Linked DNA regions of Tribolium castaneum. The main gene of each other region encodes a partner of the protein of the gene in region 2 in a complex. Links are inferred from orthologs where the notes say so. Each region holds a gene or a part of one and is shown on either strand. Other genes may lie near its edges.

The links.
Region 1: Brd8 (region 2) and YL-1 share a complex: the UniProt entries of both Homo sapiens proteins name them as parts of the nuA4-related complex. The link is inferred for Tribolium castaneum from reciprocal best matches to the Homo sapiens genes BRD8 and VPS72.

Annotation. Positions count from the first base shown.
Region 1 is NC_087397.1:8,922,076-8,926,071, reverse strand, and holds YL-1 (vacuolar protein sorting-associated protein 72 homolog), read right to left. Parts: upstream 2,431-3,996; 5' UTR 2,285-2,430; coding exon 2,148-2,284; intron 2,098-2,147; coding exon 1,971-2,097; intron 1,915-1,970; coding exon 1,818-1,914; intron 1,767-1,817; coding exon 1,316-1,766; intron 927-1,315; coding exon 707-926; 3' UTR 671-706; downstream 1-670. UniProt on the Homo sapiens protein: Deposition-and-exchange histone chaperone specific for H2AZ1, specifically chaperones H2AZ1 and deposits it into nucleosomes.
Region 2 is NC_087396.1:10,840,257-10,844,610, reverse strand, and holds the start of Brd8 (bromodomain-containing protein 8), read right to left. Parts: upstream 2,877-4,354; 5' UTR 2,476-2,876; coding exon 2,085-2,475; intron 1,964-2,084; coding exon 1-1,963. UniProt on the Homo sapiens protein: May act as a coactivator during transcriptional activation by hormone-activated nuclear receptors (NR). Isoform 2 stimulates transcriptional activation by AR/DHTR, ESR1/NR3A1, RXRA/NR2B1 and THRB/ERBA2.

The DNA.
Region 1 (3,996 bases), on a different chromosome or scaffold from region 2:
AGTAAGCAATAAATATCAAATCTAGAATCATACTCATTTTGTTGTAACGAGAATCTTTACCTTTTTTCGTGCAATAGTGTTACTATCAGACATGTGCAATTTGTAGAGAATGTTTTATTGAAAATTGTTTTCGGACATGAAATTGTTTTGCTGAGAGTACTTTAAAGATTTTTTAACTATTATAAATATTTACATTATGTTGTACTTAGATTAGAGATTAATTTCGTTTTCTCAGAGTTTTAACGAATTGTATATTAAAACAGTAATCTATTAACAAATTCGCATTGTTAATCGAACTACTCTTTTGATATACACTGTTCATACTCAAGTGCTAAAATTATTTTAACAAAGTAATAATGGCATTAATTAATGAGGTAGCTTATCAAATACCTATTAATTTTATATGATATGTTAAACTAGATGTAATTTATGTGTCATATTAATAATATTTAATGTTATTAATTCTTGTTGTACTTCATAAGCCAATTTTCAGCCAAATTATTGGCTACTGAGATTATGGTAATGTATTATTTGTGCACCAGTTTAATAAATATATTAACTAAACGTTTTCGACGCTTTTCATTCGTCCAAATTTGTTGCAAACTCATTCACTAACATTTAATCGTGTTGATCTCAGACCAAAACAGTTTTATTTGAAAGAAATAGAAACTGTATTATAAAAATTTATTAAATAGAGCAAAATAAATCAACTGTGATCCACCTGATGTGTTTTTACTTTCAACGCCAACTCCCTCCTTAACTTATCCTTATTCTTAACGTACCACTTAAGCCAGTTTGCAACTACTGGATTACTCTTATCTCCATGAGCTTCCAGTTGTTGGTAATAAGCAGAACGAATTATCTTCAAACACATGCTGCTGTGGTAAGGCAGACACGTTTTAGGGTCAACGTACTTTGCAAGGTGACTGAAAACACAAAATAAATAAAAATAAAAAAATGCGTCGCTTTTTAGAAAATATTTTGCTCCCTAATTCAAAAGTGCAAACTATGTCTTTTCCTCCCTAGACAGGAAAGACATACTGTGCACATTGCACCTCCAAATTAGGCGAAAAAAATATATACAGGGTGAGTCACTGTAATATGCCTGCAGATTAAATTGTAGAAAAATAAAAAAATAACCCCTGACATTTAAAAAAATTATGTTTAGACTGCACTGTAAAAATGGAAGACTGTATTATCGGACAAAGAATTTTAGAATACGATACCACTGACGGTGTATGTCATATCAATGACTCACCCTGTACACGTGACGGGAGCAAGAATTGCCCCTGCACATATAAATAGCTATTTTTACCCTGTGACAATGCATCTGAGACGTCGTGGAAGCGGACGCGCTGTCTTTTTTTCAAAAATGCTGTTAAATGTGGCATCGTTAGGGTCATTAAGCACTGAGATAAACGTGCGTTCGCACACGTTTTCTGATTCGTTCTTGATGTCTTTATCTTGATTGATTTCCTCAATGATTGGCATTCGTGTTGATCTGTATTGGATAACAGGGCCATTGATGACTTTTTTCACAGTTCGTTTCGTTTTCTTCTCACTTTCCATCTTTTGGTACTTTTCAAGTGACTTCAAGTTCTCCAATTCGGTCGTTTTTGCTTCTTCGAGTAACTCTTCCTGTGTTGGCACCCATTCTTCTTCTTTCGGTTTCTTGATTTTTTTCTTTTGTTCGAGATTTCGTACTTTGATGCGTTGTGCTGTTGCGGCTGATTTTGCAGCTGTGGACTTCCTGATTGACTTTCTTTCTGTAACACGTTTGTTGCCAAATATTATTAACTAACTCGTTATTTTCAAACCGTATTCTGTGGATTCATGTTGGGTTGTTCTGACTTTAGGGACAGGTTTTGTGGGTTTTGGTTTTGCTTTTTGTTTACTGGGTGCAGGCACTGGTTCCTACAATGTTTCAGATAAAAATTAACAAAAAATCGAACGTCATAATCGTGCATTACCTTGTAAGCCTTTGTAACTAATCTTCGTTTCTTCTTCTGACCCTCCTCCTCATTGTCTGAAATAGGTTCGTCATTTTCGTCAATACTAAAGTCGGAATCTACCACATCTTCGCCTTCTTCCTCCTCCCTGCAATTAAACCATAACAAAACGGAACAAAATGAATCAGAAGTGAGTACTCGTATTCCCTATCGGATTCGGTTTCTTCAAAACCACCATAATTGGTTTTGTAGAATTCGTCTTGACATTCTTCTTCTTCATCTAACAATTTTGCCATACGGTTACCGGCATTTGCCCGTTTTTCTCTTTTTGCCATTGTAACGAATTTCTCGCCTGGGACAGGGACAACAAACCAATGATAAGTTTTATTACAAAGTAAATGGTTTTTATTTAATATTTTTCCTAATTAAATAAAAAACACAAGCACTAAACACCATCTGTCAAACTGCGAAATTTTAAGGTTAGTATTTTGCTAGATACCATAGAATTATCAGTAAGTACCAATAGCTAAGTTTCATATGTCACTGCAACAAGCGTTCGAGTCCTTTCGTATTTTGGTAAAAAAAGATTTTGGCACTTTACAATGAATGAATGGAATAAATACGTGCGTGTGGGAATATTTTTAGAATTGATCTCATTTTTTCCTCCGCAATAACCCCACCAAAAGGGTGAAAATGAGTTATTTCTCGTCTTTTTGTTGGTGGTCCTGATAAATCGAGGGGAATTACAGAATTATCAATAAGTCGTCTTCAGCTGCTGCTGACGTTGCTGTTGCAAAGGTAGGTAATTGTTACAATAGCCAGCCACATTTCCGTTACAAAAAGAGAAAACAAAGATGGGAGTTCAAGGCATAGTTCTTATGACTGCGATGGTTTTTGCAATTGGGTTGGCCATATATGAAGTCTACACTGCTAGAAACAACACAGCTTCTTGTCACCAGAGCGACAATAAGTATACATATGTGTACACACCGAGGGTACAGGAAAGAACACCAGATACAGCAGATACAGGAAAGAACAAGTGAGTAACTTATTATGTAACTGCAACGTACAAAAACACCTTTTTACAGAAAAAAAAGAAGAAACTCGGTTCCGGAATGTGTGATATGTTGTGAACCATTGCCTGAAGGTGATGGTGGCATTATTTTACCATGCAAACATAAATTTCATGATCAGTGTATCACAAGATGGTTCAAAGAAAACAGAAGTTGTCCAGTTTGTCGCAAATGTGCATAAACTAAGATACAGTAATTTTTCTCAGCTAACAAATCTCAACATATCCTAGGTTTATTAGCATTAGGAACAGCATTACAGCTACACTCATGCTTTTTTCCTATTTTTTTAAATAACCTTTGATTAATTAAAACAACTGAAATCATGACAATTATTATGAGCAATATGTACAATTTTGTGCCTTTCAGGATGTTAACCGAATTTTAACATTTATTGTTTCCTAAACTGTATGTAGAATTGTAGAATGACTAGAATATTAATTTATTTGTCTCATTGTTTCTTGTAGAATATAGTTTTTCATTTTTTCTTGTAATTTGAATGAAAGGAAAATGTACAGGTCAAAAATAAAGTTTTTTGAACCATTTTTTGTTGTGTATTACTAATCCCAGCCAATAAGTTTTGTAAAAATAAAGTGAAAAATTACTGTAACCGCGAATATTCCGATTTCAGAGAAAGAAAGTTGTTAGGTTATGTAATATTGTTGACAGTTATTTCTGACAATAACAAAACCCTGTTTATCAGCTTTACACTCAATATGTAAGATATTCGTAAGTGGTTGTGAAGCAAGCAGACATCAAACAACTAGCCTGCACCCTAAAGACACTTTGACCGTAATTAAATAAGTCAAAATTGGGTTTGTAAGTTTGTTGGGAATTTTAGTGCCAGGATGGTTTTCCAAGGATTTTCCTTCTTTGCCATGGCCATCGTGGGTGTTGGCGTCCTCGCTTACCATTTTTACAAAAACAGAGAAGCGTATTTTTACGAAACCCCCCAGACTTACAACATTTACAACCCT
Region 2 (4,354 bases):
ATTTGTCTCGCCATATTATAAACCGTATCATTTGTTTTATTATACATAATTGCATTATTAAGCATAAGAAGGACGTCTCTTTGAAACTCCTGCGTTGTTCTTATAGCCCCATTCTCTATATTCTTTCTAATCGTCAACAAATCCATGGGTCTATACACCACACTGTGATACCCTGGAGCTTGGTCATCGGTGATCGGTTTAGAAAACAGTGACGCGTATTTATTTGCAGCCAATCTACTATACACAAGCATTATAGACTTCTTCCAATTGCGATACTCCCGATCATCATCGTAAAAATATATACTGGAAACTGGTGATCCTGGAACTGAATCAATCGGAGTCGCAGGAGTTGAAAGTCGCCTCCTTGTCCGTATTGTAGACACATCTTCCTCCTCCGTCCAGGGACTGTTAGATCTTTCATTCTCGCTCTTAATCCGCGATTTGCTGTCTTTACGGTCCAGTTCGCTGTAATCCCGGTCAGAGAAACTCTCTTCAACCAACTCACTTTCGTCTCTTTGCGCCTTTTCAATGGCCAAGAGAACATCAAATTCTTTATCGTCCTTCTTCTTCGTCCTGGAATAATCGCGCTTTGCTTTCCCGGTCTTGTCCACTTTCACTTCCATATTGATATCGTCGTACAATTCCTCGTTATAGTCGGAAGTCAATGTGGTTGACTCGTCCAGTTTCCTTTCGTCTTTCTTCTCAATCTCTACACTAGATTTTTCATTTTCTGAAACTTTGGCGTCTGTTTCTGATTTTATTTCCGCAACTTCTGTACTTTCCCCTGCTGTTTCTTTCTTTGGTTCCGCTTTAACGGAATGGGCTGGATCTTCAGTTTTATTGACTTCCTTGTCAGTATCCTCATCATCCATAACTACAACTTCTACAATTTCGACGGATCCAGGAGTTGTGCTTTTATCTTTCTTATCGGAATCATCAGTTGGTTCGTTTTTTACTTCTACCAGTTCATCCCGAGATTCTTCGCCATTTGAAGTTAAGTGTTTATTGTCTGAATTTGGGGCTTCGTCAGTAGTTTGTGACCGATCGTCGCTGTCCTGTGCTACCATAGTTTTAGAAGCGTCTGTTTTCACGGCTGTTGCAGGTTTAGCGGGTTCAAAAACTTCCGGATCTTCTTGGAACTCAAACGGATCTATTGCCGGTGTTGTAGTTTCCGTCCGTTTTTCTGTTTCTTTGGTTTCGTCCTTCATATCAGTTTCACTCTCTTCGAAATCTTCCAGTTCCAAATTTAGATTAAGATCACCGTTTCCATCCAGTTGTAGATGCTGTTCCGGATCTGCAACTATATCCTGCGCGTTCTCAATCAAATCGGAGATGATAACATCAACGTCATTCTTTATTTCTGGAAGTGGGCCATTCTGGATCAAGATACTGCTCGCCAAGTCATCAATTTTCAAAATTTGTAGATTGGCATCATCGAGGATATCGTTAGTATTGACATTCTGTTGTTGGGTTTCTTCTCCGGTTGGCTCTTGTCCTATAGCTGTACTAACCAAAAGTTGCAATCCTGGAGAAACTGTTTCTCCAGTTGAGGAGCTTAAAAGACTGGCAATCATGGGGCTAGTAGTTGTGTTGGTTGGCCGTTGGTTGGTAATCGCTGAATGCAATATTGAGGAAGTTGTAACGTTTGGAACTTGTGATGGTGATTTCAGAAGACTTGTCAGAAGTGGCGATAGGGCCGGTTTAGGGGGCTCCTGCACTAGGATTTTCTGTTCTTCTGTTGTATTTTCCATCTCTGGGATTGTGTCCATAGCTTCGGAATTTTTACGTTTTTGACCAATCACCGGGGATGGCTTAACTGGTCTCCACGCTCTTTCTATTTCCTGTTTTCGTAACTCCCTCTCCTTTAGCCACTGTTCGTGTGCCAGGGCTTCTTGTTCCTTCCTGTGTTCCTCTTCATCTATTTCCTTACACCAAATATCCAGTTGTTCTTCACTTACGTTACCTTTAAATAAAACAATTAATTATCAAAAAATACTTAACCGAATTTCCGCAACAGTCTTAAGTTTGAGAGGCTCTAATATAGCCCCTGTAACTTCAAACAACTTTAATTTAATTGTGAATACCTGACTGAAGCAGAGCTTTATCTCTCTGCAATTTCTGATATTCTGCTTTTTCTTCCGCTAGTAGTCTCTTGAGCTCAGCTTGTCTCTCGGCCAAAAGTTTGCGTAGAATGACTTCGGCGGGGGTTTCGATAGTGACTTCGCCCCCAGACGTTCTTTTCTTCCTCTTAGGTGTTTCAACATTCGCTAAAAGAGCCCCATACTGGGCTGCACAGTTCTTCTGGTGGAACCAATCAGGGGGTCTGTTGGGTTCACCAAAGGGTTTTAAAGCTCGGCTCACACTTGTTAAATTCTGGTCCATGTTACGAGCCACTGCTAGAGCCAACTGTTCACGGATTGACCATTTATCCAGCGGTTCACGCTTTATTTGTAAACGTTCTTCAATTGAACTCATTTTGAGGTTATGTTGGCCCGAACGTCCAAAAATCAAATACAAGAACCTTGCCAGGAAAGTGACTAATAGTATCACTGAATAAACATTCTTGAAGTAGAAATTCGCACACAAGAATTATCGTTATAACAAGCTTGAACGTTGTTTATATTTGTCAACTGTCAAAGTGTCAAACCTGGACAAACTATGCAGAAGTTTTGCCTGATTTTTAAAGAAAGTCAACCACAATCAGTGTAAGATTATGTAATGTTTCAAGCACACTTGTCTAAATAATTTCGTAAGATCTTATTATTCATAAAAATTAATAATCTTGAAAATTTCATACGCAGACATTATTAGATATTACGTACAGACCGTGATTTTTGACGAGGGCTTTTATGATCGAAAAGTATTAATTTAATGACTGTTTTTTAATTAATTAGTGTATTTTGGGTGTAGCTGGTTTAATGTTATCAAATACATATAGATTGTGGCCACCTTTTTGTATTTGTCGAATTTTATGGCATATTCTGTTATTAAGTATTTCGGTAGCTTGCGCGGTAGCTACTTTAGTGGCAAGTTGTCAAATTTTTAACCTCACTTTCTTGCGAATGGAATGCAATAAAAAATGTTTTTTTCGAATGCTTTGGAAGCTGTTTCTGGTGGTAGCTCCACCCAGTGTCCCAAAGTGAAGTAAAAAAAGAAGTTGTGAGTGTATACATAACAATCAAATGTAAGGATACTCTTTGAAAAAAAAAAAAAAGGTGGAAACAGTATTCAGAATGGCCCCCGAAGGGCGAATCAGTTATTACATCGACAAATATGGAGTGTTTCATAAAAGTGGTGGAAAAAACGACAAGCCGGTGAATGCACCAGCGTTTGAGACAAGTGTGACAAGACCTTCCTCAACTTGGCTGCGTCTGATAATAATGTTTTGGAATGCAAGAGTTATGAAAGCGGCTTTTCGTTTTGGCGTTGCTGCAATAATCATGAATCAGTATGAGCGTCTGGGATTTGCGGTCCTCTTACTGTGTTTCACGCTATGATAGTTTACTTTGTAACATAGTAGTTGAATAAATTTGTTTGAAATGTTTTTGTGTGTTGAAGGAAATGCGGGCAAACTGTAAAAATGCAGCTTTATTCAATTATAAACCAAATTATAACAACAGTTAAAACATTAAATAATTTGAGATTACTCTAATAGTTGACCAAGAGGGTAGCGATGCGCAATTTAAAATAGGCACTTTTCTACATTTATTTACATGATTCTGAAAAAAATCCCTACTTATAAGGTGAATATGACTGTGAAGGAAATTTTCAACAAATCGTAATTTTGTGAATAAGAAATGATTTTGTTAAAATCGCTCTCATCGTCAAAAGCATTTCCCAAAGTTACGTCACCTAATTTGATAACAGCATGAGCACTTTCGGTAAAAATATAACAGACTTCGTTACAGAATTGCAGTTTTAACCCCTAAAGTGTGTGTAACTACATCCTTTACAACTAAAACACTTCATATACTCTACTCTCATTACGTAACAAAGCAATATTTATAATTTCAGTCTAGGCTAGGATTCATCATGGCAAGAATTTGTGAAACCTATTTTAACATAAATTATATGATATAATTGATATTCATTATTCTTTTACATTCTACTTATAAATAGGTACTCTATGAATGTTGCATCGTGAACGGATGAAAATAAAAGCATGTCAATGTACACTTTTCTATTGCTATTTTATGCTATTCAGACAAGATGAGATCATCCTCCCTGCTAATTCCATTCTTTTATCACTAAAAACTCACTTAACTAAAAATAAATTAATCGTATCTAAGCTAGTCAATTCACTGATGCAACATAACTAAATTAACACATATGCTTTATTTAATAGTTCAGTCAA